Drosophila melanogaster: one gene and its partner. The protein of the gene in region 1 purifies or fractionates together with the protein of each later gene. This does not show direct contact. Each region holds a gene or a part of one and is shown in the gene's direction. Other genes may lie near its edges. The genes, in order: Grip91 and Grip75.

Region 1 (3,933 bases):
GATTTGTTTACCGAACTTCAAGGGCCATTATATTTACTACTACTCGAATTGTGTTACCGATTTCTGATCAATTTTCCCCGTTTTATATTTGCAGCGGACGCAAGCGTTTCGTTTCGGAGGGCGACGGCGGCCACGTGAAGCCGACTACCTTCACCATGCGTGATTAAATCATAGGGACAACGGGGACGTTATATGCTGCACATGCTTATATGACCACTGCCCCCAGCCACCCAATGACAACTAGAGGAGCAACAAGAGAGAAGCAAACATTAAACAAAAACAAAAAAAAAAACACCAAATTACAAAAAAAAAAAACGAAAATTCATACGAACGCAAAGAATAAATACACCATTTATAAGAAACAAAAGACGATATGAAGAATTTGTCGCAAACTTGATAAAAAGAACTTATCCTCAGAATCCAGATAAGGACACAAACGAAAAACAAAAACAAGCAAAAAAAAAAAACCACAAAAAAACAAACAATCAATCGGAATTTGATCTCCGTTTAAACTATATTCATTATTATACTACATAAACACCTACAACGTATATCTTACCTACATGTAACTACCAGCGTAATTCGAAAGTATATTTTAAATATTTGTTAAAAAAGGAGATATGAGTGAAACGATCACAAAAAAAAGAAAAAGAAAGAAGAATCCAGCCAAAAGTATGCGGGGAACCACGAGCAGGAGCAACAGGAACAGAGATGGGTCGCTTTTTGTGGCTAGGATCTCACATAAAGGATGCGAGTGGGCGTACTTAGCACGACCGTCATTATGCCACATGAAATCAAAGCATATTATTTACATGAAACTGTTATAGGCACTCGTACACACACACTCACACACACCTCTTGGGTTGATTGAATTGATTGAATAACTTGTATTTGGAACGAACCAATGATGATGATTTATGCTATCAACGCAATCAAAACTCTGATGATTACACAAAACAAATTCCATTGACTTGAAATTGAGAAAAACATTTATAATATTCCTATGCGCATCGAAAACATGATTTTCCTTAATTTTTTTGTAACTTTGTGTGTCAGAAGACTAACATAATTAAGCTTAATTTTACTTTATACGTATATTTACCCACGGATTCATCTTATTCTGCTTGCTTTTTTTTTTTTTTGATTGAATAAAAGCTGCATTTTATATGATAAGAAAAAGACTTTGTTTTCGCCGCACTTATATTTTAAAATGTTCACACTTCATGAAGAAACAAAATTCGACATATTCTTAAAAATGCGCGCCCACACATCTATATATATTTAATATATATATCTACATATATATATATATAAACTAATGTGTTAAAAGCAGAAAATATACATCAAAAATAAAAATTAAAAACATATTTTAATGCGTTTTCAATGGGCAAATTCGTTTATTTAGTTGGAAATAATTTAGGATCGGGCCAACATTTATTTTGCTTTTTTTTCGTTACAGAAATCTCCGGATATTAAATGCAATTACGTATAGAAGTGAGTAAGGTAAACCGGATGAGAGTTTAACTATGTTCTAAATTAAATACCGGAGGTTTCTGTTTCAATACACATTATATACATTATATATTATTTCACATATTATTTCGCGTTCAAATCTGGTGGCGAAGAATCCTTCTTGGTCACCGGTTCACTCGGTGGTTCCAGCTTGATTTCTGGGGCTCAGGATTAGCCCACATATTGCTAGGTAGTTGGGTTGGCTGCTCCAGGTACTGCTCCACCGCATCCAGCTGCTGATGGCCCATTGCGACGAAGGAAAGTCCTTGTCCATTGGAATTCCAAGACATCCTTGCAGCACCTTAAGCTTTAACTCCCCCAGCAGTAGGTATCAAACACGACTTGTAGCCAATTACAGCCGTTGGTGTGCTCCATGGCGAAACGCAGTTGGTCAGTCTCATCTATGTCTTCAGCCTTTATATTAAATATTAACAATTTTAAAGTTTACCATTTTTGCTTACAAGCAATTGCAAATGCAAAACGGACAGTGTGACCAGGCGAGTGAGAGTTGGAAACGTTTGCGGCCCCAGAGCTGTCAGATGTTTGCAATGGAATTAACATAAAAGCTGAAAGCTGCACTTCTAAACATAACTGTTATACAAAAATGCTACATTCAGTAACATTCCGACAGAAATACATTTTTATAGTAAAATGTAGAACGATAATCAAAATGGCATAGCCTATTGCAGACGAGCGCTGCCAGATCGCTGCACCTTCGGCCAGTGTGTGCCCGCCAGCGGCTAGGACTTTGCCTTGTCAAGTTTCCCAGATTCGGTAACACTGCACTAAATAATTTTAATAAATTATTTGTATGAAGTACGCGCCAATTGGATGCGTTTTTGTCCTATCTGTCGAAGATTTCACGCATCCCGAACAATTGCCAGTGACTGCACGCCGTATTATAGCCAGGGAACAGCTGTGCGTTTGCCATTGGCCAACAGTTGTTGTCCACTTCGCAATTACCAAGCCATCCAAAATCGGCTGTTTAACGCGCGCTTGATTGGATATTTATGAACAATTCAGTGCACCAGGATGTCGCAGGACAGGATCGCCGGCATCGATGTGGCAACCAATTCCACTGATATATCGAATATCATTAACGAGATGATCATCTGCATCAAGGGCAAGCAGATGCCCGAAGTTCACGGTGAGATTTGGGAATGTGCAATCACTCACTGGCTGTCCAGGCACGCAAGGCATACGGACTGCTCTGGCATTCCGGGAAGAAGGCCTCCACCCTTGGGAATCGACCACGTGCTTCAGGATTATAGTTAATCCCAGAAACTCAACATATTTCATGGCATTTTCAAACAGAGAGTCCTTGAGATATGCAACTAACAATACATATACTTATATTTTTATAGTTCTAGATTAAATGTAGCAATAACCATTGCCAAAGTGTGTTGCATAGTCGTAAATGTTCAAAATTAATGTATATATCCCACAAACAATTCAAAGTATTCAAAGATATTTATCCGAAAGTAGATAGTTTTGAATTGTTTTTAAATGACTATTGATCACATATACTTAACTATAAAAGTATGAGCAAGTTTCTTAGATCCTCAAGGTCCTCAATACGTACAATTTCCAAATCAATGAATCTAAGGATACGTAATGCAACACATACACTAGACACTATACATAATTGTAGGCTTCATTGCCCTTGTTTTAATGCACTTTGTTCAATCTTTTGCAGAAAAAGCAATGGATCATTTAAGCAAAATGATTGCCGCCAATAGTCGGGTCATTCGGGACTCAAATATGTTGACTGAGCGCGAATGTGTCCAGAAGATAATGAAACTGCTGAGCGCCCGGAATAAGAAGGAGGAGGGCAAAACTGTGTCGGATCACTTCAATGAGCTGTACAGGAAACTCACGTTGACCAAGTGCGATCCGCACATGAGGCACTCGCTAATGACCCATCTACTTACGATGACCGACAATTCGGATGCCGAAAAGGCAGTTGCCAGCGAAGATCCACGTACTCAGTGCGATAATCTCACTCAGATTCTGGTCAGTCGTCTTAACTCAATAAGTTCCTCCATAGCCAGTCTGAATGAGATGGGAGTGGTCAACGGAAATGGAGTAGGAGCAGCAGCGGTAACAGGAGCAGCAGCGGTAACAGGAGCAGCAGCGGTAACAGGAGCAGCAGCGGTAACAGGAGCAGCAGCAAGCCACAGTTATGATGCCACACAGTCCAGCATCGGATTGAGAAAACAGTCCTTGCCCAACTACCTGGATGCAACAAAGATGTTGCCCGAGTCTCGACATGATATAGTGATGAGTGCCATTTACTCCTTCACCGGCGTTCAAGGGAAGTATTTGAAGAAGGATGTGGTAACGGGCCGTTTCAAGCTGGATCAGCAGAACATCAAGTTCCTGACCACCGGCCAAGCGGGCATGTTGCTGCGGCTCTCCGAA
Region 2 (3,933 bases), on another chromosome or scaffold:
CCAAGGACTATAAAATCAAGCACAATGATCTGCTGGCCAATGTGGTGCATAGGTAAGCATCAGCAGGAAATCTCATTTGAATATGCACACATTTGCATTCTAGACACGAAGTCCCTGTTACTTCACAGCCCATCAAGATTGTGTACATGGACAAGGATATTGTGGTTGTGAATAAGCCGGCATCGATACCGGTAGGTATACTAATTTGGAAGGAATTTGATTTAATAACAATCGTATGTTGTAGGTACATCCTTGTGGAAGATATAGACACAACACGGTAGTTTTCATCCTGGCCAAGGAGCACAATCTGAAGAACCTGCGAACCATTCACAGATTGGATCGTCTCACATCTGGCCTACTTTTGTTTGGACGGACTGCTGAAAAAGCCCGCGAATTGGAGCTGCAAATCCGAACTCGCCAAGTGCAAAAGGAATACGTTTGCCGCGTTGAAGGACGCTTTCCAGAGTAAGTCCAAAATGCATCTAATCTTTTATATATCTGCTTATTTTTCATATCTTTCGTAGTGGCATAGTTGAATGCAATGAGAAAATCGACGTCGTGAGCTACAAAATAGGTGTTTGTAAGGTTTCACCGAAGGGCAAGGACTGTAAGACCACATTTAAAAGAATCGGCGAGGTGGGCAGTGATAGTATTGTTTTGTGCAAACCACTAACAGGACGAATGCACCAAATACGAGTGCATTTACAATTCTTGGGTAAGTGACAACCAGATAATTCCATTCAATTATAACACTCGTATTTCACAGGCTATCCCATTTCAAATGATCCTTTGTACAACCATGAAGTTTTCGGTCCATTGAAAGGAAGAGGAGGAGATATCGGTGGAATAACCGAGGAACAGTTGATCAGTAACCTAATTAGCATTCATAATGCAGAAAACTGGTTGGGCTTGGAAGGAGATCAAATCGTATCAGGGGAAATAAAAGACGTAGCAGCAAGTACTTCAGTAGTAGAGGCTCCCTCAGTAGTTCAGGCTCCTATTAATAGTGAAACTGAAAAGCCTGTGATTTCAAAAAACCTTGAACCAAGTAACGATGTAAGTAACTTAAAATAGTTGTACAAGTCTGGAGAACACAATGCTTATAGGCTACTGCACAGATTGCCACCCAAACGTGCTATGAGGAACCAGACAGGTCCTTTGATTCCAAGAAGACAACTTCGGATCCGCAATGTTCTGAATGCAAGATAAACTACAGAGACCCCGGCACAAAGGATCTCATAATGTACTTGCATGCATGGAAATACAAGGTCAGTTTCAAACTATACATTTTTAAAGATTTAATTTCAAATTAAATCTTATTTTCAGGGCGTTGGTTGGGAGTACGAAACCGAATTGCCGGAATGGGCGTGTAATTCGAATATTGATTACGATAAAGTATAAAGGAAAAATTGATTGCAAACACGACGCTTTAGTAAAAAGAAATATTTTTACAGAGTTTAACAAATTGTGTTTCCATTTTATCTTCATTTGTAGCATTGTTTTATTACTTTGCCGAATTACTTTATCATTTTGCGGTGCAAGGGGATGTCCTCGTGGAGTATTATTTATCGTCGTGCAGTGGATGTCCTAGGATGCCAACTATCCTGGATAATACTTTGCAAGAACTTCACCTGAACACTCTGCTCACAGTGGTTTCAGTTAACTGCAGTTCTGCGAATTTTTAAAATTTAAAACCACAATCAGTTGGCGGGAAGGGAATGCCCCTAATTCTATCGATTAGTTGGTTCTTATCGATAACGGACGGGGCAGGATATGTGTCATCTCTGTCGGACATCTGGCGCAAATGAAATACAAATACCGAATTAAAGCAGCAAAACAATGATACACGATTTGTTATTGGCTTGCCGGAGCCACAATCCGGAGCAGCTGGGTATAAAGGCATTCAATGTAAGTAAAATCGTTGGAAATAAATAATTTCGAAAGCCTTACAAGCGAACTTTCTAGGAAACCACAGTCATTGACCAGTTCATACATCCTTGCGAGCGGGAGATATTTATGGACATTATAAAAATCATTAAGGTTTACCAAGAAGTTGAGCAGTTTACCCATTCATCGGGAAGAAAGTCCGACACACATGGCGAACTTCCAGGTATAAATGGAAGGTTGCATAGTGTTTTTAAGATTTCAAATGTGTATTTCTATCGCAGATAGTTTGCATGGTTACTACTTGCTCAATTTGGCCAAGGGCATTGAAATGGCTCTGGAGGAGTACTACGCTGAGATCGGACGTCTGGAGAAGTATTGTTTGGGTAACGAGCGCAATTCGCTCTCATATGTCTACAATGCCCTGTACGCCAAGTTCCCCCTTCTGGTCTTCATGCGTAATCTCATCACAGAGATCCATGTGCTGAATCTGCGAGGATGCGTCTTGCTCCACAATCTACATCAGCAGTGCGAGCACGGCGATATTCAACTGGAAAAAGCAATCAAGATGCAAGTGATAGCCAACACACAACGCCTTGTTTCCATAATCCAAATGCTCTTCATTATGCAGAATTATGAAGCCTGTTAAGAACGCATTTTTCTCCAGCCTGGCTCACTGGCTGTTGTTTGGAGTGATTGACGATGTCCACTCGGAATTCTTTATTAAGTTTACCCCAACGGATGCAGTTGATGGTAGCTCATTCAGCAAATCAGCCACTTGCTCACTTCTGGTAACAACTTAACAAGCGATTATCCTTACCCTATATTATAAATAGCATATCTATATCCAGAGCGCAGAGAAAAACCCCGAGGATTACATATGGCAATATGAGGTGAATATGTCTCAGCTGCCAGGATTTTTCTCCATCGTTTTAGCCGAAAAAGTTCTGTTCGTGGGACAAACAGTGCTGGTCTTCAAAATGGGGCGCAACGTAAAAGTTAAAAACAAAACCGACCCACTGGCGGCAAAACTGGCTGAATTGGATTCAGATGATATCTATCAGCTGTGGAGCGGCAGGGAGTCCGAGTTCTTCAAAATGGTCGTTGATTTGAGCAACGAGGACACCATCAATGTGTTTCGCCTCGAGAAGGTTATTATCGATATCAAGAATTACGTTAGCGCCCGGCTGTCGGAGATCGCTGTGAACGAAGTGGATCTGGAGCGGCAAATGGGACTGATTAAGGACTTCTTTTTGCTAGGCAGAGGAGAGTTCTACTTGGAGTTCTGCTCCCAAATGGTCGGTACCATGGAAACTTATCGCGAAGAACGTTTTAAAAACGTCACTAGATCATTTGAGGTACTAATTACGCATAATGTTGTTAAATATGTATTTTAGATTTACATTTTTAACTCATACTCAGCTGGCAGCTACTGTCACGGGAATCACAGATGACTTGGACAAGTTTTCACTGATCTGCCAGAGAAGCACGTCTGAACCAGACGATACCTCCGACTTTAATTTTCTGCAAGGCCTCAGTCTAAAATATGAGTATGAGTGGCCATTGAATCTTTTGTTCTCCCCAACAACGATCGAGCGGTACAACAATATATTCCGATTTTTACTGATCATTCGAACATATCAATACGAAATACAAAGGGTCTGGGCCAAGCAGACTTGGAGGGCGAAGAGTGCAAAGGATGTGCCTCCAAATAACAAAATCATAACTCTTCGCAACTATCTAATGTTCTTTCTGAACAACATGCAGTATTACATTCAAGTTGATGTGCTGGAAAGTGAGTTTTTGAGCGCAATACGAAATTGATCGAAAATAACTCACATTTTGTTACAGGTCAATTTGGAATTTTGATGAATGTGATCAAGAGCAGGAGTGATTTCGAAGTTATACAAAGGGCTCACACTGTATTTCTGGCAAATGTTCTTTCGCATTGCTTCCTGCTTAACGAATCAGAGACCCAATTGAATGTCACCGGGAGCCAAAACCGAAATCCCATTTATGGAACCCTTCTTAAACTCTTTGGCATATGTG

The links.
Region 2: the proteins of Grip91 (region 1) and Grip75 fractionate together in Drosophila melanogaster (co-fractionation; 2 studies listed by BioGRID). This does not show direct contact.

What each region holds. Positions count from the first base shown.
Region 1 is NC_004354.4:13,743,010-13,746,942, reverse strand, and holds the start of Grip91 (Gamma-tubulin ring protein 91), read left to right. Parts: upstream 1-2,259; 5' UTR 2,260-2,544; coding exon 2,545-2,659; intron 2,660-3,208; coding exon 3,209-3,933. Other genes in the region: Pdcd4 (programmed cell death 4), read left to right, coding at 95-167.
Region 2 is NT_033779.5:10,481,519-10,485,451, forward strand, and holds the start of Grip75 (Grip75), read left to right. Parts: upstream 1-1,776; 5' UTR 1,777-1,839; coding exon 1,840-1,908; intron 1,909-1,965; coding exon 1,966-2,110; intron 2,111-2,168; coding exon 2,169-2,454; intron 2,455-2,515; coding exon 2,516-2,675; intron 2,676-2,735; coding exon 2,736-3,242; intron 3,243-3,306; coding exon 3,307-3,679; intron 3,680-3,735; coding exon 3,736-3,933. Other genes in the region: RluA-2 (RluA pseudouridine synthase 2), read left to right, coding at 1-52, 104-191, 245-465, 525-715, 767-1,056, 1,107-1,268, 1,327-1,401. UniProt on the Drosophila melanogaster protein: Gamma-tubulin complex is necessary for microtubule nucleation at the centrosome.